Linked DNA regions of Schizosaccharomyces pombe. The gene in region 1 interacts genetically with each later gene. Each region holds a gene or a part of one and is shown in the gene's direction. Other genes may lie near its edges.

Region 1 (8,760 bases):
GCCACAAACTGCGTAAAAAGGCGAACAAAAATTGAGGGTTTGTTCGTTCAATCCTAACGAAGACAAATTTATGTTCTTTGAAATTGGAAAAAAAGTCTGAACACCATTGAAACGCTAATGACTCTTGAACAGGATTCCATGCCAAAGGGAGCTGCAGCGTACCCAAAAGCAAAAGCTCGGCAGAAACTTTCTCATCCAAAAAATTCAAGAACAGTGAAGTTTCGTAGGTGACTACCTCAGATAACAGGCGTAAAAGGATTTGGACAAGTTCAATGCAATTTAAATTACTTTTTTCATATATTTTCGCATAATTAACAAGCTCTTCGCTATAATCCTTTAAGCTATCAACAGAAACTACAGGATTGACATTGAACTCTCTTATATCAAACATCGATGTTGGGGATAGGATAATATGAGAAATGATGGAAAGTTGCGGTAAAGGATTTCTCCAAAGAACCCAGAGAAAGTCCAACGTAAAATTAGTTTGCCTTAACTTGTAAGCATTTGTAAAGATTGTGAAGAACAGTACAAGACTAGGTGTACCCGTTATCATAAATTTAGGATTATCGAACATAGAAAGCATAGCTTCCCAATTTAGGTTTTCAAAAGAGGAAACGATAGCTTTACCCATCAAAACAGTGTCCCAAGCACCATAATCATGTATAGCTACAAGTGAATTTATAAGATAAGCAACATCAGTCTCAGTAGCCGTTCCCGGGGGATATTTTTTAAGAATTGCTTCTTTCATAGACTTAAGTGTAGCTTTGGAAGCTTTCATCGGACCAAACAAAGCTGTAAGAGGGCGTGAATTCGCCAACTTTTTCTCAATTATAGCATCAAACTTTGGAACTTTAATCAAGGGTATTCTGTCATAGTCGGTGGTAAACAAACCTTCCCTGAGCAAATCCAAATCGTTTTTATCAATACTTTGTTGCTGAGTAGGATCGGATAGTTGGTTTAAAAGAGATTGGAATGTGTTTTTAAGCAAAGCAGAAGCTTTCTTTGCTAAAGTAGGTTTAACAGAAGTGGTAAGTCCAATTAAAAGGTTAGTCCTTTCTAACGGGGAGAATTGGAAATGGTCTAAAAATGCCTCTATATCGAAATCTTCAAATACTTCAGAATCAGAACCTGAAATAGCATCACTAAAACGTTTCGCCATGACCCAAGACTTCGTGAGAGATTTTAATTCATCTAGTAGTAATTTATAAGTAGCTAGTCCATCAGAAGATTTACCGGTACCAAAAATACGGTATGAATTTCCTTGAATTAGACGGCGAAGAAAATGGTGGTATACTCTGGGTGCATTTTTGTTGATAAGTTGACGAATCTGTTCAAGTTTCGTATCATATTGGTCTTCCCGTAAGGTCGACAATAAGAAAAGGATTTGTGCTTTAACAATACTTTCAATTTTTGAATCGTTTGGTGGAGGGGTCTTAGAATCTAGTGATATAGGATGCCCAGATTCAGAAGTTGAACTAGATTTCTCTCGTGTCTCCGGCGTTTGTTGTTCTTGGCTCTTCATATTTTTAACGCTTTTCTATTACCATGCCTTTGTGAGGCTATTATTATACTCCTATGCTATTTTCAGCTGATATATTCTTTGAATATTTACAGATGAGATGCAGCAGTATCTGCTAGCAAGTTTGAATGAAAATAGGTGCAGTGGTGTTTTGCAAAAGATATGTCGGTCCTCCTCACTGCCAGGCAGTCTAAGAAAGGATCGAACATTAAATTTAACGAGACTGTATCTTTCGTAAACTTTTTTAACAAAATTTAAGGATAGAGTTAATTTGCAGTTGCTTATTGTGCACTCAGATAGGCAACGGTTGCTAGGGACGGTTGTCACCGCAGTAGTCGCAGTAAACAAACATGTTTACTCTTTTCCTGAAATCGACTACCAGGAATTTACCAACAACAAATCACAAATTTTGCTGCATTTTGTTCTTTCAATAACAAAATGGAGGTTAATGGAGTCTCTCAATCTGAAGCGGCTCCGTACGTTACCAAATCTTCTGTTAAGTTCCGCGATAATTTCTGGGTATGTGTAAATTTGCTGTATTTAGTAAAGCAAAGTTATGTTAACAAAATCGTTGCAGGGATCTGAAGATGCGGGTATGGATGCTCTTATGTCCCGAACAAAATCTTCTCTTTCCGTATTAGAATCAATTGATGAATTTTACGCAAAGCGGTAAGTATGGTTGCCTCGTTTGGAAGTTGCAGCTCTACCTTAAGCGCTACGATGATTCAAGAAATATGTTTTTGGTCGTTTCATTGTCATTTAAGATGTTTTACAGATAATCGTGGATTCTTAAGATAGCTTGTGTAATGAACCGAAGGGTTCGGTATGATTATTGATTAAAGTCTGACTAACTAAATTAGTGCTTCTATTGAGCGTGAGTACGCATCTAAACTGCAAGAGTTAGCTGCCAGCTCAGCAGACATCCCAGAAGTTGGATCAACTTTAAATAATATTTTATCTATGAGAACTGAAACAGGGAGTATGGCCAAAGCGCATGAAGAAGTCTCACAACAGATAAATACCGAATTGCGAAATAAAATTCGCGAGTACATTGATCAGACGGAGCAACAGAAAGTTGTTGCAGCCAATGCCATTGAGGAATTATATCAGAAAAAAACGGCTCTCGAAATAGACTTATCCGAGAAGAAGGATGCCTACGAGTACAGTTGTAACAAGCTGAATAGCTACATGAGACAGACAAAAAAGATGACTGGTCGTGAATTAGACAAATACAATTTAAAAATCCGTCAAGCAGCGCTAGCAGTAAAAAAAATGGATGCGGAATACAGAGAAACAAACGAATTACTTCTTACAGTTACTCGGGAATGGATTGATCGTTGGACAGAGGTCTGTGATGCTTTTCAACATATTGAGGAATATCGTTTAGAGTTTCTCAAAACAAACATGTGGGCCTATGCAAATATAATATCTACTGCTTGTGTAAAAGATGATGAATCTTGTGAAAAGATTCGACTCACACTCGAAAACACTAACATTGATGAAGATATTACTCAAATGATTCAAAACGAAGGTACCGGAACTACAATTCCCCCTTTACCCGAGTTTAATGACTATTTCAAAGAAAACGGATTAAATTATGACATCGACCAGCTCATTTCTAAAGCTCCTTCTTATCCATACTCCTCTTCGCGTCCCTCAGCTTCTGCATCTTTGGCAAGTTCGCCAACACGTAGCGCTTTTCGCCCCAAAACTAGTGAAACAGTTTCATCGGAAGTTGTATCATCACCACCTACTTCACCATTGCATTCACCAGTTAAGCCAGTGTCTAATGAACAAGTTGAACAAGTTACAGAGGTTGAACTTTCTATTCCCGTTCCTTCTATACAAGAAGCTGAATCCCAGAAACCAGTACTTACAGGGAGCTCAATGCGTCGACCTTCTGTAACATCACCAACTTTTGAAGTAGCTGCTCGTCCTTTGACTTCAATGGATGTTAGATCCTCTCATAATGCCGAGACTGAGGTACAGGCTATACCCGCTGCAACAGATATATCACCCGAAGTTAAGGAAGGTAAAAATAGTGAGAATGCTATCACGAAAGATAATGATGATATTATTTTGAGTAGTCAACTTCAACCTACTGCTACCGGAAGTCGGTCATCTAGGTTGTCTTTCTCTCGACATGGACACGGGTCTCAAACTAGTTTGGGATCTATCAAACGAAAATCAATAATGGAGCGTATGGGGAGACCCACTTCTCCCTTCATGGGTTCTAGTTTCTCTAATATGGGTAGCCGAAGTACCTCACCTACTAAAGAAGGATTTGCTAGCAATCAACATGCCACAGGCGCGTCTGTCCAGTCTGATGAGTTAGAAGATATTGACCCCAGAGCTAACGTTGTTTTAAACGTTGGACCCAACATGCTTTCTGTTGGAGAGGCACCAGTGGAATCCACATCCAAAGAAGAAGACAAAGATGTACCCGATCCCATCGCTAATGCAATGGCTGAATTAAGTTCGTCAATGAGAAGACGCCAATCGACATCAGTTGACGATGAAGCGCCTGTTTCTCTTAGTAAGACGTCTTCTTCTACAAGATTAAATGGCTTGGGCTATCACTCTCGAAATACTTCTATAGCTAGTGATATAGATGGCGTTCCCAAAAAGAGTACCTTAGGAGCTCCTCCAGCCGCACACACTTCTGCTCAAATGCAACGCATGAGTAATAGTTTTGCTTCCCAAACAAAGCAGGTGTTCGGAGAGCAACGAACCGAAAATTCAGCTAGAGAATCCCTTCGTCATAGTCGAAGCAATATGAGTAGATCTCCTTCTCCAATGTTATCGAGAAGAAGCTCCACCTTGCGCCCAAGCTTTGAGAGGTCTGCATCTTCTCTTAGTGTACGCCAATCTGATGTCGTTTCGCCAGCACCTTCTACAAGGGCTCGTGGGCAATCAGTGTCTGGTCAACAAAGGCCATCTTCATCTATGTCGTTGTATGGTGAGTACAACAAATCTCAACCTCAGTTGTCTATGCAACGTTCTGTTTCTCCCAATCCGTTAGGCCCTAATCGTAGATCGTCATCAGTCTTACAGTCACAGAAATCTACTTCATCTAACACATCAAACCGAAACAATGGTGGTTATAGTGGATCGAGACCAAGTTCAGAAATGGGTCACAGATATGGGTCTATGAGTGGAAGGTCCATGAGGCAAGTTTCCCAAAGATCCACCAGTCGCGCACGGTCACCAGAGCCGACTAATAGAAATAGCGTTCAATCAAAGAATGTCGATCCACGAGCTACTTTTACGGCTGAAGGAGAGCCAATTTTAGGATATGGTAAGTTCATTAAAGAGAAACTTTAAAAATTTTTAATTTTACTAATTATAATTCAGTTATCGCACTTTATGATTATCAAGCTCAAATACCTGAAGAAATTAGCTTCCAAAAGGGCGATACATTAATGGTTCTTCGCACACAAGAAGATGGATGGTGGGATGGTGAAATTATTAATGTTCCAAATTCAAAACGTGGTTTATTCCCGTCGAACTTTGTTCAGACGGTATAGACACTGATTACCCTCTTTTCTAGATGTTTACACTTGCATTCTTTTTCGCGTGGTTACTATCTCTTACTAATCCGTAATTCCTTATTTTTTTTTTGATGACTTAACGCGAAACGACATGCTTTTTTTTTTTAAATTCATTTCTCGTCATGGTCTAAGCTTCGTTGCATTGCATAGGTATTTATACGCATTTATTTTGATATCTAAAGATTTCTGTTTTAAAGGAAATACACATAGAATCTAGTTGATTGGAATATATTTTATTTTATTTTATTAACAATGTTTGACTCCTTTGTCCTTTGGCTATTGTAAGACGTAAGAATAACACTAATTGTTTTTGAAGATTTCGTGCATTTCAAAGTTTCATATGATTTTTACATCAATTTCAAAACCGATTTTAGTAAATTAAAATCAAGGTACGATTTGGTATGTAGCTTTGACAAGATATAGCTAAATTGCTAATTTTTATCAGTAACTAGAGGATAAAGTTGAATAAACCAAAAATATAACACGATGATGAATTTGCCTGCTCAAAAATATGATATCCGCAGATGTAGGATTCTGAGCTTTACTTTTTAAAAAGAAGCCGACCGATAATTACCAGAAAATGCATTTGTGGATAAGGTATGTTTGAAGAGTGCAAACCCAGATTTTTTGTTTGGCTATAGATACAGTGTGCATCAACTAGCTTGTAAACATGAGTGTTAGGAGATATGAATAGATGCTTATAAAATGATCTGATTGAAAAGAAGTCTCGCTAGCCTGAACAGATAAGATTATTGATTGAGGTATAAAAAGACATAAGACCCTGATTTTGCAAAAACACATGCGTGCCTTTATATTTACATACCTACTTAGTGAAAAAGCTACAGATTTTGTTATTTGCTTTAACGATACAATGAACTGCGGTGAGTTTCGCTTATGAGCTGTTTATTCTATGATACTTTTGAATAATAGAGGTAACAGTTGCTATATATATTGTTATATGTAGGTACTGTTGTAATTTGTCGCTGAGAAAGAACTGAAGAACGAGGATCTATTTATCGTGTATTATTCTTAATAGCTTATATTTTATTGTATTGTTAGCAAGATCTATCTCATGTTCGTATTATCATGACACGATGTGCAAATTGAATGAATGAATGAATAATGATATGTAGCGTAATGCAGTATTACTGACACATACACTGATTTTACACAGTATCTCTAAAGCCGTCAAAAACAGAGAAATTAATTATCGTTAAATTATTTAACGCCATAAATAGAACTACTGCCAAATTCACCAGAATATCATAAATGTAATAACGAAATTTTTCACCAGAACCTTCAATTTTATTGATAGCGGCCGTGATAATTGGTTTTCCCGCACATTTTAGATTACTTAGATCCGATTCATTGGCTGTATCCGTAGCCTTCGGTTTAATTCAGGAAATGCAATTGGTGCGCTGTTAAAGGTAAGGAGCGGCTTCCTCGGTTAAATGACGAATGTCCTGCGTTCCTTTATTTATTTTATTTACATCTTCTTTTCCTTTTCCTTCTTTACTACACATGTCAAATTAATAGCCACTAGCTTGACCGATTAGAGAGAATCCAACTTTTTTCTTTCTCTTTCATTCCTGTTGTTTTGTATCTGTCTACACTTGTTCGTTTTAGCGGTGCGGGATTTCCAAGTGTATTAACGGGTGTCTGTTTGTGAATAGTTTTTTTTTTTGTCTCGTCTTAAGGCTCCTTCGTTTCTAGTTTTGTAATATCTTTTTTTGTATTATTTGATAATTGTTTTCATTTGTTGAGAAAGTACTTGATATTAGCTTCTTGTTCTGTTCGTATTAGTGATTACTTTTAAATTTTTTCAGCAATTGTGCTAAAGTGCCTAATTAATGTCTTATTTATCGAGATCTGCACTCGCTCGGTCAGTCGGGGCTAAACACCTTACTGGGGTATTGAGAAAAATCGGGAGAAGGGGAGGAAGATCGATGCACGTTCTCCCTCTCGCTTCTCCTAGTACTCTTTTAAAAATCTCTTCTCAAACTTTACGTCAAGATTTCACCGTTCTGGGCGCTCGTAATTTTCATTCAAGTTCCGTTCGACTTAATGAATTGACGGATAATTTGCGTAAACTAGATACTATTGAGCGAGAGGTCGAGGATGTGGATGTGTGTATTGTTGGTGCTGGCCCTGCGGGACTTAGTGCTGCCATTCGTATCAAGCAACAAGCTGCCAAAGCCAACAGAGACATTCGTGTCGTGGTACTTGAAAAGGCTGCTGAGCCCGGTAACCACAGCGTATCTGGGGCTGTAATTCAACCTACTGCCTTAGATGAACTACTTCCTAATTGGCGTGATGACCCACCTGAAAACTGTACTGCTGTTACTCACGATAAAATGAAGTTCCTGATCCCAAAATTGCATTTCCCTATTCCTGTCCCTCCAGCCATGAAGAACCACGGAAATTATGTTATGAGTTTAGCAGAATTTACCAGATGGCTAGCTGCAAAGGCCGAAGAATATGGAGTTGAAATATATCCTTCTTTTGCTGCTTCAGAGGTCCTCTACAACAAAGATGGTTCTGTTATTGGCGTTGCCACTAATGATTTTGGTGTCGATAGTAAGGGTTTGCCCAAAGATAATTTCGAACGCGGCATGGCTTTTCACGCACCTGTCACCTTATTTGCTGAAGGTGCTCACGGTTCCCTATCAAAATCTATTATTAAGCGTTTTAATCTTCGAGGAAATTGTGAACCTCAAACCTATGGTTTGGGTGTAAAGGAGGTTTGGCGTGTACCTGACGAGAACTTTCGCAAAGGTGAGGTAGCCCATACATTAGGATGGCCAATGAGGAATGATACATATGGTGGTGGTTTTATGTATCAATTTGGCGATAACTACGTTACTGTTGGTTTAGTTGTTGGACTGGATTATCCTAATCCTTATGTTTCTCCCGCCTTAGAATTTCAACGTATGAAGCAAAACCCCTTTTTTGCTAAGGTGCTAAAGGGCGGAAAATGCCTGGAATATGCCGCACGTGCTCTTAATGAAGGTGGTTATCAAGCTATTCCCAAACTTGTGTTTCCTGGTGGTGCACTGATCGGTTGCAGCGCTGGATTTGTGAACGTTGCCAAGATTAAAGGCACTCATACTGCGATGAAATCAGGTATTGTTGCCGCTGATGCCATTGTAGATGCGTTTGGACGGGACGCTGCCAGTAAGCCTCTTCTTCTAAACGATTATGAAGAAAATCTAAAGAACACGTACGTCTTCAAAGAACTTTATTCTGTTAGAAACATTCGACCATCTTTTCACTCATTTCTTGGTAATTATGGTGGTATGGCTTATTCTGCCGTGGAAGCATATGTACTGAAGGGTCGTGTCCCATGGACATTAAAGCATAAAGGAGGAGATGCAAAGGCTACAAAGTCTGCATCAAAATATAAACCTATCAATTATCCCAAACCGGATAACGTTCTTTCTTTCGATATTCCAACTTCGGTATCCCGTTCCGCAACAATGCATGCTGAAAACCAACCCTGTCACCTATTCGATCACCGTCCTAAAGACCGTAAATCATGTTTTGAAACATATAAGGGCGTTGAAAACAAATTCTGCCCTGCTGGGGTGTATGAATATGTTAATGATGAAGCTTCTTCATACGGTAAGCGTTTTGTCATAAACTCTCAAAATTGTGTCCATTGTAAGACATGTGACATTAAGGACCCTTTAC
Region 2 (10,603 bases), 1.1 Mb from region 1:
TATTTAGTTTTCGTAGTGAATACATATTAAGGGCGAGGCTCTTTTTCACCGACATATATTTAATTTAAAGAAATTTTTATTGTAGATACTAGTTTATGATTTTTGGAAGACTACAAGTAGTAAAATTAAAACTTACCTAACTATTTTAAAACTACATTTTCGTAGTCCATTTAGAAATTATGTATACCTTAATTAGCTACTACATAGTAAGATTGCTCAGTATTGATTTTGTTTACCAAGCTTTTCATCGTTCATTCTTTTTTTTAGCCGATTTCATGCATCATCTTCGAGAGTATCTAAATTAAATGTTTAAATCCACCCACAAATTATTTTTATTTGTAAGATATTAATCAATTGGACATTTGCAATAAAATTATCTATTTATGTGCTGATTTTACATTCGTTAAAACATATAATGTAGTTCATGGTCGTGTTATTAATCACTTTAGACAGTTTAGCGAGTTGGCGTCTTTATGAAATCCGCGTCGCCAGATATTAAGCCGTTCTTGGCATCATAATAATGGCTAAACTTTTTTATTAATTACTTTTATTGAAATTTTTTGAATTCAAATGCCAAGGTTCTTTAAAATTTAGAGATTAAGTAGTACATAAAGAAACGCGAACTCTCGATTCATCATGTGGTCAAAGTTATCGATTTCTTCAAAAATTAATCGTATTCGCGACCCTGAAAGCGATAATACGATTGAAGATACTCACGTTGCTCGTGTAATGAGAAAATACTATATGGACAAAATTGGGACATTACCTGAATGGCTTCGTCCTCCTGGATGGCAGCCTCCAGTTAACACAGGACCTACTTCCCCAGTTAGCATAAATGCAAGTAATGCGGCTCCTTCAAATTTAAAAGCTTCATATATTCCGGCCAATCCTAGGAGGCTATCGTCCTCCACTTCCTCTGCTTCGTCTCCCCCTTTACGACGATTACCTTCTGTTCAACATAGTACCTTTGACGATTTGTTTGAAGGTGTCGGAAGTCTTCAAAAATCACCTTCCACCACGAAACCTCTTTCCTCTACACCTTCCGGCTCATTGCTACGGTCAAAATTTGATCACACTAGAAAGAAGTTTTAGTTGACACAACGATACCTTTACTTTACTCTCATTGGTATCTGTTAATGGCGTATTAATGATCAAAACGACTTTTTGTTTCTTTGAAAATGCTGTTACTACGTATGTGTTATTCTCAACCTCGTTTGTTAATAACTAAGCCCATCTTACCCAGAAGTTCGACATTTGTCAGTACAGAGGCATAATTACTTATTTTACAACTTTGAGTTAGCTCACCTTTTCTGGTTTTTCCTTTAGTAATTATTTTTGGAATGACCTGACAATAAGGTGCACTATCCTAAGCAACTCGCCTTTAGTTTGAGAACTATCATTTAGTCTAATTAAATAACCATCACATGTTCTTTATGTTTCTAACCGGATTGTAGCTTTAAAAATTAAACTGTTCAAAAAGCGCTTGGTAGAATTAAAGCTAGTAGCTGAAATCAATTCAACATTATAAAAACTTATCGTTACATACAGCGCATCGTATAGGTTTCTTTAATTTCTAACTCGAACACTTAGGGACGAATTGTGAAAATTCGTTATTGTAATTTAATATGGTATGTAAATAAAAGCACCAATGGATTCGTTCTTGTGATTCTCGTTTATTTGCAAATTTCTGGTTATATTTAGCTCAACGTGACAACAAAATATGTTACGAATGCTTTGTAAGTAAAAATGATCTTCACGAATGTATTTTCTCATTGAACAACGTTTTAAGCAACCAGAAACCGCATCCAAATGCAGACTAGACTTACAAGACGAGAATTTCGATTATCCTAAAAATAAAATTTAATACGCTATAACGCAATTTAACCATTATAATATTAGATATATCGAAGTTTCATTTCCTTTCAACTTACTTGTTCGCAAGTATACGTATTATCTTAGATCATTTAAGCCATCCCAACCCTTACTCGCTAAGTGTTCCACTTTATCCAAATTTGAAGGTCAACAAGTTCTGAACATCAACTTTTAGCAAATTTAAAAAAAAGGTTTAATTGAGCTAAAACTTTTCATCACAGTTTCCTTGTTAATACTTGAAAACAAGATCCTGAAAGCAATTACAATGCTGCATTCGTTTATGAAGTAGAGATGCGAAATTCGTCAAAGGGACAGGACCCTAATTTTTCTTATGACTCTATTCTGTCTACTCCAACTCCATCAGCCAGAAGAACTATTGGGCCAAGGGCTCCTAAGTCCAAAACAACGTACCATAAACCTCCATCATCCATAGAATCAGTATCGACGTTAATCCAGCCTAATAAGTCCCAATCAGTTACTTCTCCGTATGTAAAGCAATTTACCTTTTCATCGAAAGAGTACAATTCTCATAATAAACATGCTTTGCAAAATTCCCAGCTTCCTTTACCTAAAACACCCGAGAAATCTACTGTCCATCGACCCAAAGCGAATAAAGTTGAAGTCACTGATCTACCATCTTCGTCTTCCGTTGAACATTTGCACACTTCTAAACATCTCAAGGGTCCTAGGTTGCCCAAAAACATTATTAAAAGTTCTGAGGATGTCCAAATTGCTCCAGTGACACCCCCTGTACATTCTCGCTCTTTTGATCCTTTGCCGAAACCTCCTGTTCCCTCAGTTCCAGTATCTAAGACAAAAAGGCGAACTAAGCATAAACTTGCTCCTGTTGTTGAAGTCCCTGAGATTACCAACGAGGTTTCCCCAAAATTCACTTCTACTAATGATGAACAAGTTTATCGACTACGTTCAATTCGAGCTGGGAGCCCTAATTCGGTATGCTCGTTTCAGTTTGAAATTCCGAGTACTCGACCACCTTCATTGGATCAGCTAATACATCTATTCAACGATTTTTTAAGACACCCTGTATTTGATTTTGACGAAAACGCCATTGAAATGCTTCAAAGTTGTACTCCAGATGAAAAGTGGTGTTTTATTCGTTCTAACTTCGCCGGGTTTGATGATCCTTCTTTCCAAATTCCAGAATTAGCTGCCGTCCATAGACCTGTTTCCTGGTTCGTAATCCAACTATGGAATAAAACAATTAGTAATTTACAACTTATCACACTTTCTTCTTTATTATCAACTCAATCCGATCGATGGATATCTCTTTTTCTTGAACTGCAGGGACTTCGAGCTTTGCATAATCTACTTACATATTTTAATTCGTCTGCCGTAGTGCAGCCTCAGCAAGCTGAAGTTCCTCGTTGCATGCTTACTCTTTTGAAGAAAAAACCTACTCTGGTTACTTCCAATTCTTATATATTTCAAGCAATAACAGTGACCCTTATATCCCCAAATTTGCTTCCGAGGAAAGTAGCCGCAGATTTATTGACATGGGTTCTGTCTTTAAAGGAACCTCTTGTGGTCTCCATATTGGAAACTGGATTTAAAGAAATAAATGCCGAATATGAAAAGGAGGTTCCGCTATTCTTTGGATGGATAAAATCTTTCAAAGACATAATCTTGGAAAAAGAATTAGCACGAACCCCTCCATCTTCTCCTGCTCGAAATTCTGCTTCCAGCTCACCTTCAAACATAGCGTTTCTTGAGTATTGTACTTCCACTATGGAATTTATCAATCAGCTAATTGTTGCTTGCGAAGAATTGGAGCAAGGATTTGACCTTGATATATTGGATTCCCTTCGTGAATCAGGTATACACGAAGTTATACAACTTCTACGTAACTTTCCTGACCAACAACTTGAGAAACAACTAAACATATATGAATCAGAAGAAGAGAGGAGGACTATAAGTCAGACCACGCATGAAGATGTCGATTCCTTTATGTCAAATGAATCCTCAATTTTAAGTAGCTTCAATGAATTTGCATCAAATGAAGTTGGCCGTTTACTTGAATCAACTATTCAAAACATACTACTTGCCAAAGGTACTGAAAAGCAAAAGGTGAAACTTATCAAGGTTTTTAACTCTTTACTTCAAAGAATACTGCTCAATTCAAAAGTATCCAATGAAAGTTTTGAAGATAGTTTACAGGCATCTTTAAATATGCTAACCGAAAGATTCTATTCGGATGACACAGCCAGAAATGCTTTGAAGGAAGCAAAGGCGTCACGTGCAATGGCTGAGAAAATGGTTATTGAAAGAGATGCAATGGCTGCGCAAGTAAATCTGGGTGCCGAAGACTTAATTGCGAAGTTAAACAAAGAAGTAGAGGATCAGAAAGACGTTATTCTTTCTCAGAAAAGAACGAATGAGACTCTAAAAACAGAAATTGATGCTCTCCAAAAGTCTCATGTTACTCAAATCCAAAGGAGCGAAGTGGAATTACGAGAATTGTATCTTCTTATCAATTCGGATTCTTTTCAGGGCTCAACTAATTCCAAGGAAAGGATTATAGAATATTTGTTGGATAAGCTTGACTTGAGGAAAAAGGAAATTGCTGCAGAGTCAACACTTTGGTCAAACGATGGAATTGATGACAAACTTCGGGATCTAAGGGAGCAAATGTCTCGACAGTCCAGCCAGCCCTCAACTGTGTCAACTATTTTACAAATTCCTGATAAAAAATTTCATCGTCCATTCCCTCGTCATTTACATCGATATGTTGGTCGTTCAGCTTCTGAATCGTTAACCAGTGAAAAGGATGAGTCCATCAAAAGTATGAAAGGAATTGATGACTTTGCGAACTTGGAGATTCCGGGAAAGGGTATTGAGTCAAACGTCGTAATAAAGGATATTTCAAATCAAACGCATGAGATTAATAGCGTTGAGAACAAAGCAGAAACAGTTAGCAACAATAGTAAAATTACGAACTTTGATATTCCTAATGATGCAACTTCTTTACCAACGATAATTACACATCCAACTCCACCACCACCTCCTCCTCTTCCTGTTAAAACTAGTTTAAATACCTTTTCCCATCCTGATTCTGTGAACATCGTTGCTAATGATACATCGGTTGCTGGGGTTATGCCTGCTTTTCCACCACCACCACCACCTCCTCCTCCCTTAGTAAGTGCAGCTGGAGGTAAATTCGTATCCCCAGCTGTTTCAAATAATATATCAAAAGATGATTTGCATAAGACTACTGGTTTGACTCGTCGACCAACTCGTCGTTTGAAGCAAATGCATTGGGAGAAGTTGAATTCTGGGCTGGAATTTACATTTTGGACGGGACCTTCTGACGAGGCCAACAAAATTTTGGAAACCTTGCATACATCAGGGGTCTTAGATGAATTAGATGAAAGTTTTGCGATGAAGGAAGCAAAAACATTGGTCAAAAAAACATGTGCTAGAACTGATTACATGAGTAGTGAACTTCAGAAGCTTTTTGGTATTCACTTTCACAAGCTGTCTCACAAAAATCCGAATGAGATCATTCGCATGATTTTACATTGTGATGATAGCATGAACGAGTGTGTTGAATTTTTATCAAGTGACAAAGTACTAAATCAACCTAAATTAAAAGCAGATTTGGAGCCTTATCGTATTGACTGGGCAAATGGTGGTGATCTAGTTAATAGCGAAAAGGATGCTTCAGAGCTTAGTCGTTGGGACTATCTTTATGTGAGACTTATAGTTGATCTTGGGGGTTATTGGAACCAAAGAATGAATGCACTAAAAGTTAAAAACATAATCGAAACCAATTATGAGAACCTTGTTCGTCAAACAAAACTTATAGGGCGGGCTGCTCTTGAGCTTCGGGACAGCAAAGTTTTTAAAGGTTTGCTATATTTAATTCTATATTTAGGAAACTATATGAACGATTATGTGCGCCAAGCTAAAGGATTTGCCATTGGTTCACTTCAAAGACTTCCATTGATAAAAAATGCCAATAACACTAAAAGTTTACTTCATATACTTGATATAACTATTAGGAAGCATTTTCCTCAGTTTGACAACTTTTCCCCTGAACTATCAACCGTCACTGAAGCAGCCAAACTGAATATTGAAGCGATTGAACAAGAGTGCTCCGAGTTAATTCGTGGTTGTCAGAATTTACAAATAGACTGTGATTCTGGGGCTCTTTCCGACCCTACGGTATTTCATCCTGATGATAAAATCCTTTCAGTTATATTACCCTGGTTAATGGAAGGCACCAAAAAAATGGATTTTTTGAAAGAGCATTTACGTACAATGAATACTACCCTGAACAATGCTATGAGATATTTTGGTGAACAGCCTAATGACCCTAATTCCAAGAACCTGTTCTTTAAACGTGTTGATTCTTTCATAATTGACTACTCTAAGGCTAGATCTGACAACTTGAAATCGGAAGAAGAAGAAGCTTCACAGCATAGACGTTTGAATCTTGTCAACAATCATAAAGAACACGTGCTTGAACGTGCAATGTCTGAAAATAACAAAATGGATAATGAAGCAATGGATGGTTTCCTTGATAAATTGAGAAACGTCAAATTAGAAAGTCACCATAAACCACGAAATAGATCCGCCATTACTATGGGTAAAGAACATTTAATAGAAGCTCCTAACACTTCTACTAAATCTAGTCCTGCAAAAAACGAATTATTTGTTCCTAAGAGATCTTCGGTAAAAAGTGACTTGGCAAAAGTTAGGCCAAGGTATCCTAAGGGTAGTGAATCAACCGATGGATTATCTGACGCATTAAATATTACTCCAACGAAAAAAGGAGAAGTATCTAGCAAAGCTAAAAAGGGATACAACTACGAAAAGCGTCGTTCGGGCCGTCAGGTATCTGATAGCTATGTCCTTAACAAAAATTCGAAGAATAAAAGTAATAAGGGTCGCTCCGCTTCTTACACTTTTTCTGATCCAAGCAGTTTGGAAGATTCTAATAGGCAAAAACCCTTTAATGGTGAGAAATTTCGAAGGTTTAGTTCAAAATCAAGAAGAGGTTCACAAAACCGGGATTCTAAGAAGACGGGTAAAGCTCGAAAGGATAAAGGTATAAACAATAACCAGACAAGCCCTCAGAATAAACCGTCTAAAGAATCTCTAAAATCTGATACTATTTCAAACGAGAAGAAAGTATTTCCTCAAAAGGCTTCTAAAGTTAATTTGCTTACGCCGACAATTTCAAATGGTACTAGGGCAAGTAAACATGCTAACGAAAAGGAGAATACTTTTCCTCGTGGTGTCGAAAATAATCTGGTTGCTCCCATGATTCCTAATAACACCGAACTTAATGAAGATACCAGCGCTGTCTCTCGGAACTTAGAAAATGCCACCAATGACTTGAAGGAAACTTTTCCGACTACAACTACGATTTCAACAGCCAGAGCTAAACCTGGTAACAATGATATTAACACTATTTTACGAAGAAACAATAGCCGTGGCCGTCGACGCATGTTGCAGCAAATGAGTCCTTTGAAAAGCAATAAATTTTCGGGAACTAATGATTTGAATTTTCAACAAGCTACTAAACCAGACGGCAGCAATAAGTCCTCATATATGGAACGTCTGGAAAAATTGAAACAAAACTCTGAACGACATCTTCAATCAGTAGGAGGTAAGAAGGTTTATTCTTCTGAAGAAACGCCCGTCAACAAAATATTAGTATCGCCTTCCGTTTCTATTTTGGATCATAACCGAATCTTAAGTCAAAGTACTCCTATCAAATCACCACAACGAGCACAAGAAATGCTTGCAGGTTTATTATCTGGAAAATTGGCGCCTAAGGAGAATGAGAAATAGGTTAATGATGCAATCTTTCTACCATTGCATAATTTTTTTTTCTAATTTTGGAAGTTAGTTTAGTTGGAAGATTGCCCTTTTTTTGAAGTGTGTATCATGTTCATCATTTTTAATAGAAAGAGCTGGCTCGTTTGACATTTTGTCATATTTCTTTAAAAATCTTCTTATGAGTATGTAAATATAATGATTTAAATCCCTATTCTATTTATCATAATGTCTGTTGCGCAAATTGATGTAGAACTCTGTAAAATTTTTCAATCTGAAGTAAAATAGGACTAATGTTAAGATGAAAATCGTTTAGAAATCATTCGATGTGTGCTAATGTTTCTTCGTTTCTTTTATAAAGTGACGAATCATTGGCGAAGACTCACTATTTAAATATTGCTCAATTATATTTTCGGTGTAATTAACTTGTTACATTTTCTAAGGCAAATACATTGTGCTGTTGCAGAACTGTCTTTTCGAGAAACATACTCTGATTGATGTATCGTTGGTAGAATGGTAGAACACGAGCATGCATTAAGTCAAACATTCTACAAAATGAAATTTCAATTATTTTTATACACATGTTGTTTTTCGAGAAGTCTAAAATTAGTCTACGCTCGAGTAGTAGCATGTATAATTCAGTAAATAGCATAACTATTAACTATTGAGATTGTTTATGTGCTTAATCTTTTTTTATAATTTAACTAGTGCTCATTGAAATAGATTGACGACGAGCTTTTTAAACGCTTTAACTACCAACTTGCGCTGACCACTCACTATTGGTTTTAAGTTCAACGGATTTAGAAGATTAGCGCGCACATCTTGACCACCGAACTACCCAACACCAACGTTGTGAAAATTTTAAATTCGTAATCTTTCTTTGAAAATTGGAATTATTGGTATATAATTAAATTTCAGAGTCTACATTACTTGGTTTAAATTTAAACCGAGTTTTAGAAATAACAATGAGCAATTCTCGAAACATTGTAATTGTCGGTGGTATGTGACTTTAAAAATAGCTGGACTCATGATCTCTTTTATCTTAACTCATATATTGTTGATGTTGTTGATATTGACAAGAAGTTCATCAGCTTTATGACGGTGAAACTTCTTTCCTGCCATGCTCAGATGAGCTTTGCTTTGATTGCTATTTTACTTTACTGCCGCAATTTTCATAACTTACTAACAAATATTTTTCAGGTGGAATCACCGGTGTGAGCTGTTTATATTTTTTGGCTCATCACCCCAGTTTTAATCGTGATCGTGACACTATAACACTTTTTGAAAGTGCTGGTATTGCATCTGCCGCTTCTGGAAAAGCATCTGGTTTCCTTTCCTTAGAATGGCATGGCCCTTCGACGAGTTCTTTAGCTGCTCTTTCGTACAACCTACACAAAGAATTATCGGATCAATATGATGGAGTCAATAAATGGGGTTATCGAGCGTTAGATACTTGGTCCATTAAAGCTGACGAAAATTGCCAACAACCTGATAAATTGCCTGAGGGAATTGAATGGATTGCTCCCTCTATTGTTGAGAATGTTACTCGTTTAGGAAACAAGAAAAATTCTGGTCAAGTTCATCCTTATAAATTTTGTCATGCTATTTACGAAGAGGCCAGTAAGGTTGCAAACGTTACCTTGGTAAAAGGTCATGTATTAAGTGTTGATGAAAATGAAGTTGAATATCGGCTTATTGGTGATGACTACGCCCCGGATGAAGAGGAGGAAATTACTTCGGCTGAAGAACTGCATACCATTCATTCAATGGAGGCAACTCACATAATTGTCGCTGCCGGTCCTTGGACTCCCCAATTAATACCCAACTTGCGAATAAGTGGAGCACGAATTCATAGCATAACTATCGATCTTCCTATCAAGCTAAACGGCAATGCTGTATTTTCTGAAATTACCTATAAAGATGGGACAATTGCTGCTCCGGAGTTTTATGCACGTGAAGATGAGCTGTATGTATGTGGTGAATTCGATGACGAGCCTTTGCCTGAATTGTCGTCAGATACGAAGGTGGATCAAGATAAATGCGCTTTGATTAAACAATGTGCCAACCATTTCCACCAAATAATTCGTGATTCTCCTGTTAAAGTTCGTCAAGCGTGTTATTTGCCCATTTCTAATGCAACGGGTGCTCCTGTCATTGGAAAAATTGGTTCATCTATTTATGTTGCGGCAGCTCACGGCTGTTGGGGTATAACTTTGGGACCTGGTACAGGAAAAGTGTTATCTGAACTCATTTTGGATGGTGCTGTTACTAGCGCAAACATTGATCTTTTAGATCCGGAAGGTTCTTTGGAATAAAATCACCTTAATTATGGCCATATTTGTCTTCATATCCCTTCTTGTTTCTTATTTTTTTACGCTTAGCCTTTTATCCTTTATTTTCACTCTTTTATTCATCACATTCTCATTTATGAGAAAAGTCTAGGCATATTTTGGGAAACATATTTTCGAATCATGGTATTGATAAGATCATGATTATGAACGACTACTTTACTACCATCAACTCATAACAATTCTTGTTTGCTATCATCTTATTTTTGTCTTGACATCATAGTCAGCTTGAAAATTATTTGTTTTTCTATCTCCCTTTTTGAGCATTTTGCGTACCGATTTTGTTTATTTTTCCGTTGAACTTTTTGTTCTGCTTAAGTTAGAAGTAGAATCACTGAATACCGTCATTTTTAATGTGCCTCTTGATCACGGTGTTGAGTTTCATCCTGTTGGGTGCATTTTACGGCATAGGCACTTAGTGTATATATTTTGTAAATCCCTTTTTATTTAGTGTAATTTATTTTTCTACATAATTCGATACTTTCTTTAGTTATTTTCCACTTCGTATGTGCTTAACAAATAGGATTTGAATCCGATAATATACAAGCAGATTGTAAAAGATCACTTTAAAAAACCAACAT
Region 3 (6,693 bases), 3.9 Mb from region 1:
ATTATAAAATAGGAGCTTGTAGACATGGGGAACGCTGCTCTCGTAAACATGTCAAACCAAATTTTAGTCAAACGATCTTATGTCCCAACATGTATAAAAACCCAATTCATGAACCAAATGGCAAAAAGTTCACGCAGCGTGAACTTGCAGAACAATTTGATGCATTCTACGAGGACATGTTTTGTGAGTTTTCAAAATACGGTGAAGTTGAACAATTAGTCGTCTGTGACAATGTTGGAGATCACTTAGTCGGAAATGTTTATGTAAGATTCAAGTATGAAGAGTCTGCCCAAAATGCTATTGATGATTTAAATTCCCGATGGTATTCCCAAAGACCAGTCTACGCCGAGTTATCTCCTGTAACTGATTTTCGCGAGGCATGTTGCCGGCAACACGAAACTTCGGAATGTCAGCGGGGTGGCCTTTGTAATTTTATGCATGCCAAAAAACCAAGTCCTCAGCTTTTACGCGATTTGGTACTAGCACAAAGAAAGTATTTGGCCTTAAATGCAGCAGAAGAAATGAAAAAGGAGCCCAATAGTGATTCCACGAATCGATGGGTCAGTGTAACTGCTGAACGCAAAAATTAAATAGCAACTTATGGAATGTATTTGTTTTGGATTCTGGTTTGCTTTTGTACGGTTTTACTTCGTTTATTATGATTAATCTCTGGCTATAGTTTGTTGTGATTTAGGTTATTTAAATAGATGTTGCATTCTTTTATTGTTTACTAATAAACTTGATCTTTGTACAACTGTACTCATAGACGTTTTAAATTTTGTGTCCAATGTGCCTATGGCTGATTACAAGCTAAAGGAGATCGATTAGAAACATATGAAACGATCAAACATTTCGCAAAACTTGCACAGCAATTCTTAAAAACGAAGGTGTTATTGGTAGAAGCTGTGTACGATATAAGAAAAAAAAAACAAAAAAAAATAAATAGAACCCGTATTTAAGCCAAAATTGTTCAGTTGTTGTATGTTACGAAAAAATAAGTTTCAAAAATTAAAAAAATTAAAACTGCTGAATATAACATTTATATGTCTTAATTACTTTTTTGGTTTTGACGGCGAGCACGGACAGCTTCAGCAAGATCGTCTAGCATTGGAGCAGTTTGTTCCCAGCTAACACAAGCATCAGTGATACTGACACCGTACTTGAGAGTATCCTTAACGCCAGGACGGATTGGAGCATCTTGACGACCTTCATTGATATGAGATTCAATCATAACACCAACAATGGAAGAGTCGCCATTTCTGATTTGTTCGGCGATGCTCTTGGAGACCTTTGGTTGGTTCAAATGATTCTTGCTTGAGTTGCCATGAGAGCAATCGATCATGATACGAGGAGGAAGGTTGGCCTTCTCAAGATCTTTGCGAACGGCGGCAACGTGCTCAGCATCATAGTTAGGACCCTTCTTACCACCACGCAAAATGATGAAGGTATCCTTGTTGCCCCTGGTCATGGTAATAGCGGCGAGACCTTGTTTAGTAACTCCTAGCATTGTGTGAGGATGGGCGGTAGCACCAATGGCATCAATCGCCACACCAACAGTACCATCAGTACCATTCTTGAAACCAACAGGGAAGGAAAGGGCAGAAGCCAATTCACGATGTAATTGAGACTCGGTAGTACGAGCACCGATAGCACCAAAACTGAGTAAGTCGGCGAAGAATTGGGGAGAAATGTTGTCCAACATCTCACTGGCCAAAGGAATGCCAAAATTGGTAACGTCGCAATACATTTGACGAGCCATCCTAATACCCTTGTTGATAGCAAAAGAACCATCCAAGTTAGGGTCGTTGACCAAACCCTTCCATCCGATAGTAGTACGGGGCTTCTCCAAATAACAACGCATGACAACGCACAAAGCATCCTGAAGCTCGTCAGCTTTGGGCTTCAGCAACTTAGCATAGTCCATGGCCAATTTAGGGTCATGAATGGAGCAAGGACCGACAACAACGATAATTCTGTCATCTTGTTTGTTGAGAATAGCTTGAATCTCCTTTCTGGAGTCAGTGATGACTTTGCGAGAAGTTTCAGAAACAGGAATCTCTTGTTGAACCAAAGCGGCAGGAACCAAAGGGTTGTAACCTAAGACACGGTTGTCATCAAGATGCTCTTGATCGTAAGTTTCACCGCTGGGTAAAAAAACCTAATTGAATAATGTTAGCAAATTGACATTAAAAAAAAAGACCAAACATGCTGGACATAGCAATCAACATAAAGCAATAAAAATTTCAAAAAAAAGAAACAAAAAAATTTAAAATTTCAATTGCCTAAAAATTCATCAGCAAAAACAAATTTGTTATCCGCATAGTAAAATCTACTATATAACTCAATAAGATAACTTTCAGTACTGTTTCTCCGACTGATGAAAATTTTTACTAGCAAAATTCTTTGGATGCCCAATTGGGGTTACTTACCGGAGACATGGCTTATTAAATAGAATTAATAAATTTAGGTCAAAGAGTGCTTCCTAAGTTGTTGAATGCCAAGTAAGTAAACACTATTAAAGGTCCTTTACTACGACGAAGGTTGGTTCTGTCTGAGTTCGAAGCAGCGCCAACGAAAAATATATGTAGTCCAGTAATAAGATGATCCAGTGATAATGGCTCTAAGTCATCGGAACTGCGAAACAAGTAGTAGGCAATTTCTGGACATCATCGCTTAAAAATTTGTTCAAATTTATAAGTCCTTTGTTTTGTATCAATTTCTAGATTTCACTTGCTATTTAATTACTTGAAAGTAAATTGAAGGTTGAGCGTAAAAACATAAAATAAAGCCTTTTTTCGGTTTCTTATTAATTCATAAATTAATGTTAAAAGGGATTGATATATAATATTTAATAATTACGTTTCCTACAATGTTTACTGTCATGTACCACTGGGATATGAGAATATATACATTGCTTATCAAAATACTTATTTCCAAGATTCGCTCAATTATATAAACCACGCATTAAAGCAACATATAAAAACATATTGATTCGTTTATTTTACTTTTACTCAATGCATATTTTGTGAGCCCGAAAATTTAGATATACCATCTGTGACTGCCTTTTTGGTACACAAACGCCGAAAATTAGAAGTCTGGTGGACAGCGTTGGCTTTCCGGTAGATTAGTCTTTTGAGGTTAACAAGTTAATGATATCTGATATTCTGATGTGATTATTGAATTTATGAAGTGCATCAGTACTGTATTTCTCGTGTTCCGGTGACTCTCGTATTTTGTATTGCACTAGAAATAGTGAAATCGCCAGCCATTTCATAATTTATCAAGTAGCTCGACATTAGTATGACTATTCATATTCTGTATACGAATGATGTTCTAAATTAAAATCTGGCAAAGTAAATGACAATTCTGTTCATATAAGCTGGTTTACATAGCTCTACGTTCTTTAGTAAATTACTAAACAGATCGCTATACAGTAAACATTATCATGGCAACGGTTGCTATGGGGCTTATAGGTGCGTGTACACAGATTACAGTCGACTTAGTACACTTACCTTCATCCTAACAATCCATTTAGAATAGTCAAACATGTCGACAGACGATTCACCTTATAAACAAGGTAATAACTACTTTTTGAAATCATTTCAAAATGTTTATTAACGAAAAGATAGCTTTTTCTTTATTTGACCGCCATGGAACTGGTCGCATCCCCAAAACGTCCATTGGTGATCTTTTAAGAGCGTGTGGACAAAATCCTACGCTGGCTGAGATTACTGAAATTGAATCTACTTTGCCCGCAGAAGGTATGATTTCTTGTTATGGGTTTGGAGAGTTATACTCCTTAGCCGTGCATTAAGTGACAATACTAATTGGTAGTCGATATGGAACAATTCCTTCAAGTGTTAAATCGTCCCAATGGGTTTGATATGCCTGGTGACCCAGAGGAATTCGTGAAGGGCTTCCAGGTGTTTGATAAAGATGCCACTGGCATGATTGGAGTGGGTGAATTGCGCTATGGTATGTATTTATAGAGATCTATCCTTTTTTCAGATTGATAAAAAAATGCGAAACTAATTGTATCAGTTTTAACTTCTTTGGGTGAAAAACTCAGCAACGAAGAAATGGACGAGTTATTAAAGGGTGTTCCCGTAAAAGATGGCATGGTTAATTATCACGGTATGCTCTATTACTACTCTGGGCTTCGGCAATCAACTACCTATACTTAATTATACTAACTGCTTCCTTTAGATTTCGTTCAAATGATTCTTGCCAATTAATTAAATCTACATAGTTTGCATAATTTACCCGGCATATGTTTCTCCTTTATTATTTACACCTTTATTTCAATTTTATGTCTTCAATAGTTTACTTTCGTTCAGCTTTTCCATCTGATACACTTGGGACTATGAAGCAATATGTTCCTGAATACAGATAACTGGACTTTTCGATACTCGCAGGAATTTCTACACATATCGTTTAGCATACGGAAATAGAGATATCCTTCTATATTCGTATATTTATGAATATGATTAACAACCATTTGTTATCTCATGCAAATGACCTTATATCTCAGCTGCTTAAATTGTTTGAATCTCTCCAGATGTAAATATAAGTTTTCATTCAAAATTACACTTTTCGTAAGTAATTACGGTTGATGCCAGCTTTCTTGATGCATTCGGCTCCAATTTTGCCATATCGTGTATATCTTGTATATCTAATTTACTGTGTGTCAATACGATGCTTTGAATTAGATGTAGGGCTTGACACTTGATGTCGAACGAATGGCCAGAGTCAAGACAGTCCATTCTTTTGCATTTTTACATAGTGAACACAAATCATAAAGGTAAAACTTTTGGCTCATTTAGACATGCAATCATATAACCCAACAATTAGTCATTTGTTTGCTCTAAGGCCTGAGTAGCAAAATATTGAACATCAGGGTCATTATCTTTTGTAAGTTGTTCGAGCAATGGGATGATTTGCTGTTCATATACGGTCGAGTCACCACCAGCTGCCAAAACAGGCTTAAGAACTTCAAACGCCTTGGCAACGTTAAAGCGAATATTAGGAATAGGGTCATTAACCAACTGTTCCAAAGTTGGAAGAATTTGTTTTTCAATTACTTCAGCATTCAATGCAGGTGCGATTTCCTAAAATACGTTAGAACTGGAAAAAAGCAAAAAAGAAAAACTTACACTGATCGCAAAAATAGTTGTCATTCGGTATAAATAATTTGGATGGCTTCGCATAGCCAAAAACTTTGGAATAATTGTCTCAGTTGCCCATTCCAACCCAAAAATTTCCGTAAGTTTTCGCAAATTCTTTATCGCAGCTTCACGAATAGAATATACATGGTCCTCTAACCATGACATACATAAATTGCCCATTTTCTCATTAAAAAATTCGACCCCAAGCTGCTGAGCAAGTAGTGGAATGTAGTCAATGATAGCAAGACGAACACGCCATTGTTTATCTTCAGCAAGTGTAACAATTGCAGGCAATAAAGATTGTGAAAGTAATTCGATACCAACGACTAAAGTGAGTTAGTATAACTGTAGCAATAGCTATATTTTGAATTTGCAATTTACCTTTGTTTACAACTTCCAATTTCGAAATAATGTTAAGACGAACTTCAGGGTTTTCATCTTTAAGTAATTCCAAAAACATTGGTAAAAGATACTCTGTAGTCCTAAATATAACGATTAGTAAAATGAGGTTTTTAAAAGAAAAGTTATTTTTAGCAGACATACTTTTCCTTTCCTAATTGTGGGGCGAGAGCACCTATGTTCATCCCTAAAGCAGCACGGACATGTTGAGCGGGATCATTAATTAACTCTTGAATAACTGGAATAATCTCTTCAAGAACAATTCGCTTATCCAACAATTCGCAAAATCCTGGTATTTGAGTAGCAATAGCACGGCGGACTTCCTGCTCGGTATCCTTCATGAGCAGTACGAATGGTTTAATAAGTTCATCTTTAATAAGAGATGGTCCAACTACTTTAGCAAGTTTTACAAAATTAGCAGCAACCATATAACGTGTTCTCCAGCTGCTATCCGAAACAAAAGACCTTAATGGTTGAAGCAAATAGTGACGAATTTCCGAGTCAGATTTTAATACCTCCGCCAAAGAAACCATAATGTCGAAAGAAAGGAGCCGAACTGAGTCTTGGTCATCATTAGAAAGGGAGTTGAACAATGGAATGAATTCGTCAATAGCCTCCTGTTTAGTTACCAAAAAAACAAACTTGGCACAGTTCGTTGCTGCAGGACGACGGACCATGGGAGCTTCGTCGTGACATAGATGACTAAAACTTTGACGAAGAGAGACTTTGACAGCAGGATTTTCTGACTGAGAATATGCCGCGCAGTAAAGCCCAGCAGAGGACGCACGAGAGGTAAACCACTCAGCGGTTGAAAGACGTTGAACCAATGGAACAAAATATTGCTCTAATTGTTCTTGGGATAGGCAAATACATACTTTATTGAGAGAGTCAACGGCTTTATCGCGGACTACCGTTTCTTCAGTTGCAGCAAGATTTTCAAGGGGAGACAAAAGGACATGCGCATACTCAGGGCCTCCAACATAATCTACAAAATTTCCTAACTGGTCGGCGAGAGCTGATAGGACTTCGTCCTCATCGTCAATCGATTCTGTATTCAAGGAATGTTAGCCGACAAACATACATCGTTTATTAAAAAATATAAAGAATTTTAAAAATTTAAACCTATAGT
Region 4 (6,630 bases), 3.4 Mb from region 1:
TTAGCTTAAACCATGAGCGCTTAGTTCATTTAGTTGATTTGGCCTTTTTAAGTGCTGTTTCGGTTGTCTAAATAAATACAAATGATTATATAATCTTAGGACTAGTCAGGGAGTTTAAAATAGTATCTTTAAGTAGGGAAGACAGCAACATCTATTTACAGTAAATTTTTCCAATACTCCGTTCGTGGAATAGTAGGCATTATGTCAATTTAAGGAATATTACCAAAGCTGGTATCTTAAAATTACGTATTATACAGATGGCTTAACAGACTATTATCCGCTACATAGCGTTACTGAAAAAAGTTTTATTGGGATCATCTTTTGGGCTTCCAAACTTATCCTTCTCCATTTCTTTATCATGGCAAAAGATAAAAAAGACCATAAGCATAGTGGAAGCACCGAAGATGAGTATGATTCATATCTTCCTGCTTTAATGCCAATTGCTAAGCCTTTAGCTCCTAAAAAATTGAACAAAAAAATGATGAAGACTGTCAAGAAGGCTTCGAAGCAGAAACACATCCTTCGTGGGGTCAAAGAGGTTGTAAAGGCTGTTAGAAAAGGAGAGAAGGGTCTTGTAATTCTTGCTGGTGATATTTCTCCCATGGATGTTATATCTCATATTCCAGTATTATGTGAAGACAATAATGTCCCTTACTTATATACTGTTTCCAAAGAGTTGCTTGGTGAAGCATCAAACACCAAGAGACCTACTAGCTGTGTTATGATTGTTCCCGGTGGAAAAAAGAAGGACATGTCTAAAGTTGAGGAGTACAAGGAAAGCTACGAGGAAATTATAAAAGAAGTACCTGCTCTTGAAGTTTAATTGTTCAATATCTAAAAGATGCTTAGCCATTTAATGTAGATTATTATATACTATTAAAATTTGGTATTTATCCTGGGATTTAACTTTTGGTATATCATGTCTGTTTGCTTGATAGTAAGCGAAAAGAAGTTTTGCTTAATGGTCGGTTTTAAGGTTTCAAAAAATTTCCTTTTTAATCTAGTGTTTTATCATTCTTTCTTATGCCCTAGTATTTTATGGGTTTAGACTGGTTTGCGAGCAAACTAATCACTATACCTCCAAAACTTTGTTAGCAATAATATCGTATCATTTACCAACTTATATGAGAATGGTATATCGCTGTAACAGCGATGAAATATCAACTGATTTTTCCTCAAATTTCGTTTACGCTGATCGTTTCATTACGGATTTAGCCTGTGTTTATTTCTAACTAGTTGCGCAAAAAAGTTTTATTATTCGTTTAGGTTGCTATTTAGTATTCAGAGGCGGCGTGTTAGAACCAGTTTACAACTAACTTAAATTTCACCCAACGTCGTTCTTACCATTATAATGTTTACAAATATTATGCTTTCCAGTGCTATCCATAAATGATAGATTAGGGTAGCTTTAAAGGTCCGGCAATTATATGGTTATCTATCCGGATTTTGTTATCGGATTTAAATATATTTGCTAAAACAAATCGAATTTCAGATAAAAAAGTTGGGTTGTATTTGTATGAGCAAAAAGTATTCTGTATGTTTATCATAAATTGATGTGCATTTTTACTTACTTTGTAAGATAATGATTATTGTTGTTTATTTACTATAGTGTTGCTAAAAGTTAATGTCTTTTTTTTTTTAATAAAGAGAAAAGATTAAATGTCAACATAACGTTGTGTATAGTTTAGAATCCACTTTTGTCTTCATTTGTTTCGCACCCCACATATTTTCTTGTGCATTATCATCCCTTCTATTTACAAGGACCACCAACACCCAGGTACACAATTTAGAACTCAACCATTACGGGTTTGACGAATATAGACGAGATTCGCAATTACTTGTCTGATGGATTACCAAGATGATGGGCTTGGTGAAATGATTGAGTTTTTGGAGGGTATGCATGAAGTTTAACTCAAATATCTCGTAAAATTGATTAACATGTTAAATAGACAAGTTATACTACACATCATTGTCGCAACCACCTAAAGCCGAGTTATATCCTCATATGCATTTTTTTACTATCGATGATGAATTGATCTACAACCCTTTTTATCATGACTTTGGTCCGCTGAACGTGAGTCATCTTATTAGATTTGCAGTGATAGTTCATGGTATCATGGGAAAACACAGACAAGCTAAGAAAAGCAAGGCTATAGTTTTATATTCTTCTACAGATACAAGGTTGCGTGCAAATGCCGCTTGTTTGTTAGCTTGCTACATGGTGTTAGTACAAAACTGGCCTCCACATCTCGCATTAGCCCCTTTAGCTCAGGCAGAACCTCCTTTTTTGGGGTTTAGAGATGCGGGATATGCTGTTTCAGATTACTATATCACGATTCAAGATTGTGTTTACGGACTGTGGAGAGCACGAGAGAGCAGCATACTAAATATACGTAATATCGATGTTCATGACTATGAAACTTATGAAAGAGTGGAGAATGGAGATTTTAATTGGATATCTCCTAAGTTTATAGCATTTGCAAGTCCTATTCAGGCTGGTTGGAATCATGCGAGCACACGTCCAAAGAAACTTCCTCAACCGTTTGCGATAGTTCTCGATTATTTCGTCGCTAATAAGGTCAAACTGATAGTTAGGCTTAATGGACCTCTTTACGATAAAAAGACTTTTGAAAATGTTGGAATTCGACATAAAGAGATGTATTTTGAGGATGGCACAGTTCCAGAGCTTTCTCTTGTCAAAGAGTTTATTGACCTTACCGAGGAAGTAGAAGAAGACGGTGTGATTGCTGTTCATTGCAAAGCAGGGCTCGGACGTACTGGATGCTTAATTGGCGCATATTTAATATACAAACATTGTTTTACTGCTAATGAAGTTATTGCTTACATGAGAATAATGCGTCCTGGAATGGTTGTAGGTCCACAACAGCATTGGTTACATATTAATCAAGTTCATTTCCGTGCATATTTTTACGAAAAGGCGATGGGAAGAGCAATCCAACAGGCCACCGCTGCGGAACCCTTAGCTACTCCTCCTCGCCATCCATTGAATGCTACGAATGGTACCTCTCAAAGCAATATCAGTACTCCTCTTCCAGAACCAACGCCTGGCCAACCGAGAAAAGTTTCTGGACATAATCCACCGTCGGCGAGACGTCTCCCTTCAGCGTCCTCTGTCAAATTTAATGAGAAACTTAAAAATGCTTCCAAGCAATCAATCCAAAATGAGAACAAAGCGTCATACAGTAGTTACGAAGATTCAGAAATACAAAATGATGATGAAACACGGACTGTTGGAACTCCAACTGAAACAATTTCAGTGGTTCGCTTGCGTCGCTCATCAAGTCAAAGCAATATCGAACCAAATGGAGTTCGTTCTCCGACATCCTCACCAACTGGTAGTCCAATTCGACGTACAAGTGGAAATAGGTGGTCTAGTGGGTCTAGTCATTCTAAAAAAAGTGCTCAGCGAAGTGTTAGCATGTCATCACTTAACAATACTTCTAATGGCCGTGTTGCTAAACCTAAGCCTTCTAAAAGCCGGCTAATTTCTTAATAAACCTGTAATTACTGGTTTAAATGGCAGTTTTTACATTCCTTTTTTTCATATAAACTAACTTTGAATTATACTGTGTCAACCCTGCATAATTTTTCATTAATTAACTTTACAAATATTCCCTGATTTAGCGCACCTTTGCGCGGTGGGGATCACCACCATTAATGTCTTAGCTATCCTTTTTGTTAACTAACATTCATATTTCTTTGGAAAAAACTTTGGCTTTTTGCAAGCCATGGTTAATGATTTTAATCGAGAAATTGTTTTGGTTATGATATAAAAAGTCTTTGTTTTTTATTACGAATTTCAAGATTTCGCCATTCTATTTTTGGCTGAAGAGGTTCTTTCGCGGGTGCATGGTATCTTTGTTCGTAGCGGTACATTTTATTATATTTTGCTTGAGAATTTTTATCTAAATTCCCAACGGAAATCTGCCTACTTGTTGTACCTAATTTGCTTCAATGTTTTCACCTTTGGGTCAGTTTAAGCACATAGTTTGTCCATTTCTACGAACTGGACGCAAATGTCAGTCTAGGAATTGTTTCTTTAGTCATGACTTTCAAAACTCAACAAAGATTTCACCACCTTATTCCGAAAATGTTGAAGGGTACCCAAAAGTTAAAATTGAAAAATCACTTCCTTACAAATACGATAATTGTAAACTGTCTATTTGTGTTCCAATAGTTACGACCTGTATCCCTTATCATTCGGTTGAAAATCTTAATTTCAACATTAGGCAAAATATATCCACCACTTTAAATTTGGAGAAGACAAATGATTCCATTAAAGAAACCAAGAATGAGAATTTTCGTATGGACGTACTAGAAACTTACAAATGCAAGCAGTTGAATCATCAAACGACGCATCTACCTACAAATACTGTATTAAAAAAGCGTTCTTTATTTAATGATGCCATTTCCATCGTTCCTAATAAGAAGAAGCAACTTGTATCAGCCATTAGTACTAATTCAGATTCTCAAGGAGCGTCTTCCAATATCATTCCTACTCCTAAATATGACTCCAACTCACCAGCTGGGCATGAACTGAGAAAACGAATGACACATTTGTTATATGAGTCTTACAAGGATTTAGGCTATTCCAATGCAGAAAGTAGTATGCTTGCTCTTCTCGATGAAAAAAATATTTGTGAAACTGCAAACAGTAAAATGATATACAGTTCCTCCTGCAAGTCTAAAATTTTATCTCTTAAGAAAGCTCCGAAGAAAAATGAAATACAAGGATCAACTCCTGATGAGAAACTTGAGTCACTTGTTCATTCGGAAGAAGAATTGATTCTATGGGGATATAATATTGGAGACGTTGCACCAGTAAACCCGCCAGATGAACTTCGTGAATGCGATCGATGTGGTACACGGTTTGCGGATCCTCGAGGACCATGTACATATCATTGGGGAAAACTGTTTCGTGAAAAGCAAGGGGGGGAGAAGATTCGTACATACACTTGCTGTGGTGTAAAAGAGGGCGATTCGTCTGGTTGTATTATAGAAGACAACCATGTGTTCAAATACCGACATCTTCCGTATCTTGCTAGCGTTCATCCATTTTCCTACTTACCAGACAGTACAAATAGCAAGCAATTAAGTCATTGCGCGTTAGATTGTGAACTATGCTACACTACGAACGGGATGGAATTGGCTCGTTTGACGGTGGTAGCAAAGGAAAGCATTATTATGGATGTGTTTATAAAGCCTAAAGGCAAAATTTTGAGTCTCAATACTCGATTTAGCGGGATACATGATGCCAAAGAATTAGAATCAGGAATTACCATGGATCAAATGTATATTAAAATAAAGGAACTTGGCATGAATAAAAATACAATTTTAATAGGACATGGTTTAGAAAACGATTTGAATGCGATGAGGCTTATTCACAAACGTGTCATAGATACTGCTCTTCTATTTACGCATGCCAGAGGCCCGCCGTTTAGATATTCCTTAAAATATTTGACTAAAAAATATCTGGGAACAACAATACAAACTTCTACACACGATAGCGAAGAAGACGCTGTTTCAGCATTACAACTTGTCTTTTATAAGACAAAATCAAATGAAAGTCAAAACTAAGAGTAATAATGTTTTCAAATTCAAGAGATAGATCATATCACAAAGTAATTTTGTTGGATATATAGATTTCTGATACTAAGCATAATGAGAGGAGAGAGATAGTAATTGTAAACCCAATAAGGAAAGGGTAGGGAAGAATTTTGTAAATCCTTCTACCAAAATGAATACTTCATTCTCATCATTATTCCTCCACCAACTAAACCACATATTAGTAAAATGACAATTATTGACACAATTTAGAAGTATAGAAAAATGCTGCAAACCATAGCTGCTTATCGATTCTTCAGTCATTAACTTACGTGTCTTCCATGTTTGGAATTGAGGAATTCATTACGCTCCTTCCCCCAACAGTAAATATAGTAAGCTATTCCAAACGGAATTGCTACGTATAGACCTTCAGTCATGACGCGACGAAACATATTTTGCGTAGAAGTTTTGAAGAAGCCGGCCATTGGTCTCTGTTGAAATGGGGAAAGGGAATATGTTATGATTCCTTTTTGTTTAGGTCCACCTCTTATTAAAGTAAGTAAAAATGTATCAAATTGTTATAGCACTTACAGATGGCCCCACCATCCTCTATTCATGTGTTAGTATAAATAAAAACGTTCAATGATATTCTCAGCAGCTATTTGAATGTATATAACTTCGCTGACGAAAATGGCTTTACGAAATAAACACCAATTGTGTCCACCGTCTCACGCTATAAGCGTCAAAGAAAAGTCATATAACCCATTATAAACAGAAACTGCTTTAAGTTGCACTTACAAATAAGTTTTTCCTCCAGCAGCACCACCCATTTTGTTAAAACAATAATATATTGATGATTGCCGTTACAAAGTCAGATGTTTGTTAAGGGTAAGTGTGCGGGTCTGCTAGACCAATAATAATTCAGACGTTTACAAATTCTTGGTTTTTTATTCAAGATTTTTATTTAGTTTTACTATTAAAATTCTAAATAATAAGATCATGTATTTATTAATCATGAATATAGATTTTCCTAGAGGTTGCAGTTAAGTCATACTTAGTCTTGCT

The links.
Region 2: mutations in cdc15 (region 1) and cdc12 impair growth when combined (synthetic growth defect), as found in Schizosaccharomyces pombe (8 studies listed by BioGRID, with this or other methods).
Region 3: mutations in cdc15 (region 1) and cdc4 are lethal when combined (synthetic lethality), as found in Schizosaccharomyces pombe (4 studies listed by BioGRID).
Region 4: mutations in cdc15 (region 1) and clp1 impair growth when combined (synthetic growth defect), as found in Schizosaccharomyces pombe (5 studies listed by BioGRID, with this or other methods).

What each region holds. Positions count from the first base shown.
Region 1 is NC_003424.3:1,396,084-1,404,843, reverse strand, and holds cdc15 (F-BAR domain protein Cdc15), read left to right. Parts: upstream 1-1,907; 5' UTR 1,908-1,957; coding exon 1,958-2,038; intron 2,039-2,096; coding exon 2,097-2,188; intron 2,189-2,364; exon of another isoform or gene 2,365-2,379; coding exon 2,380-4,817; exon of another isoform or gene 4,818-4,828; intron 4,829-4,873; coding exon 4,874-5,046; 3' UTR 5,047-5,644; downstream 5,645-8,760. Other genes in the region: CCR4-Not complex subunit Not1, read right to left, coding at 1-1,522; cir2 (electron transfer flavoprotein-ubiquinone oxidoreductase), read left to right, coding at 6,921-8,760. UniProt on the Schizosaccharomyces pombe protein: After the onset of mitosis, forms a ring-like structure which colocalizes with the medial actin ring. Appears to mediate cytoskeletal rearrangements required for cytokinesis. Essential for viability.
Region 2 is NC_003424.3:281,313-291,915, forward strand, and holds cdc12 (cytokinetic formin Cdc12), read left to right. Parts: upstream 1-2,031; 5' UTR 2,032-2,163; coding exon 2,164-7,689; 3' UTR 7,690-7,888; downstream 7,889-10,603. Other genes in the region: exocytic docking protein Mso1, read left to right, coding at 637-1,092; SPOM_SPAC1F5.03C (FAD-dependent oxidoreductase), read left to right, coding at 8,640-8,673, 8,875-9,989. UniProt on the Schizosaccharomyces pombe protein: Plays a role in the cell cycle. Involved in cytokinesis. Component of the cell division ring. In the absence of profilin, caps the barbed end of actin filaments, thus preventing subunit addition and dissociation.
Region 3 is NC_003424.3:5,325,672-5,332,364, forward strand, and holds cdc4 (myosin II light chain cdc4), read left to right. Parts: upstream 1-3,516; 5' UTR 3,517-3,546; coding exon 3,547-3,577; intron 3,578-3,629; coding exon 3,630-3,761; intron 3,762-3,834; coding exon 3,835-3,975; intron 3,976-4,041; coding exon 4,042-4,134; intron 4,135-4,206; coding exon 4,207-4,235; 3' UTR 4,236-4,847; coding exon of another isoform or gene 4,848-5,108; 3' UTR 5,109-5,153; downstream 5,154-6,693. Other genes in the region: U2 auxiliary factor small subunit Uaf2, read left to right, coding at 1-590; SPOM_SPAP8A3.07C (phospho-2-dehydro-3-deoxyheptonate aldolase), read right to left, coding at 1,049-2,158, 2,430-2,438; serine/threonine protein phosphatase PP2A scaffold subunit Paa1, read right to left, coding at 4,848-5,108, 5,154-5,491, 5,547-5,647, 5,709-6,612. UniProt on the Schizosaccharomyces pombe protein: Involved in cytokinesis. Required for the formation and function of the contractile ring.
Region 4 is NC_003424.3:4,766,875-4,773,504, reverse strand, and holds clp1 (Cdc14 family protein phosphatase Clp1), read left to right. Parts: upstream 1-1,788; 5' UTR 1,789-1,845; coding exon 1,846-1,894; exon of another isoform or gene 1,895-1,949; coding exon 1,950-3,514; downstream 3,515-6,630. Other genes in the region: box H/ACA snoRNP complex subunit Nhp2, read left to right, coding at 359-823; exonuclease Rex3, read left to right, coding at 3,976-5,598; qcr8 (ubiquinol-cytochrome-c reductase complex subunit 7), read right to left, coding at 5,780-5,794, 5,898-6,111, 6,157-6,174, 6,364-6,395. UniProt on the Schizosaccharomyces pombe protein: Protein phosphatase which antagonizes mitotic cyclin-dependent kinase cdc2, the inactivation of which is essential for exit from mitosis. To access its substrates, is released from nucleolar sequestration during mitosis.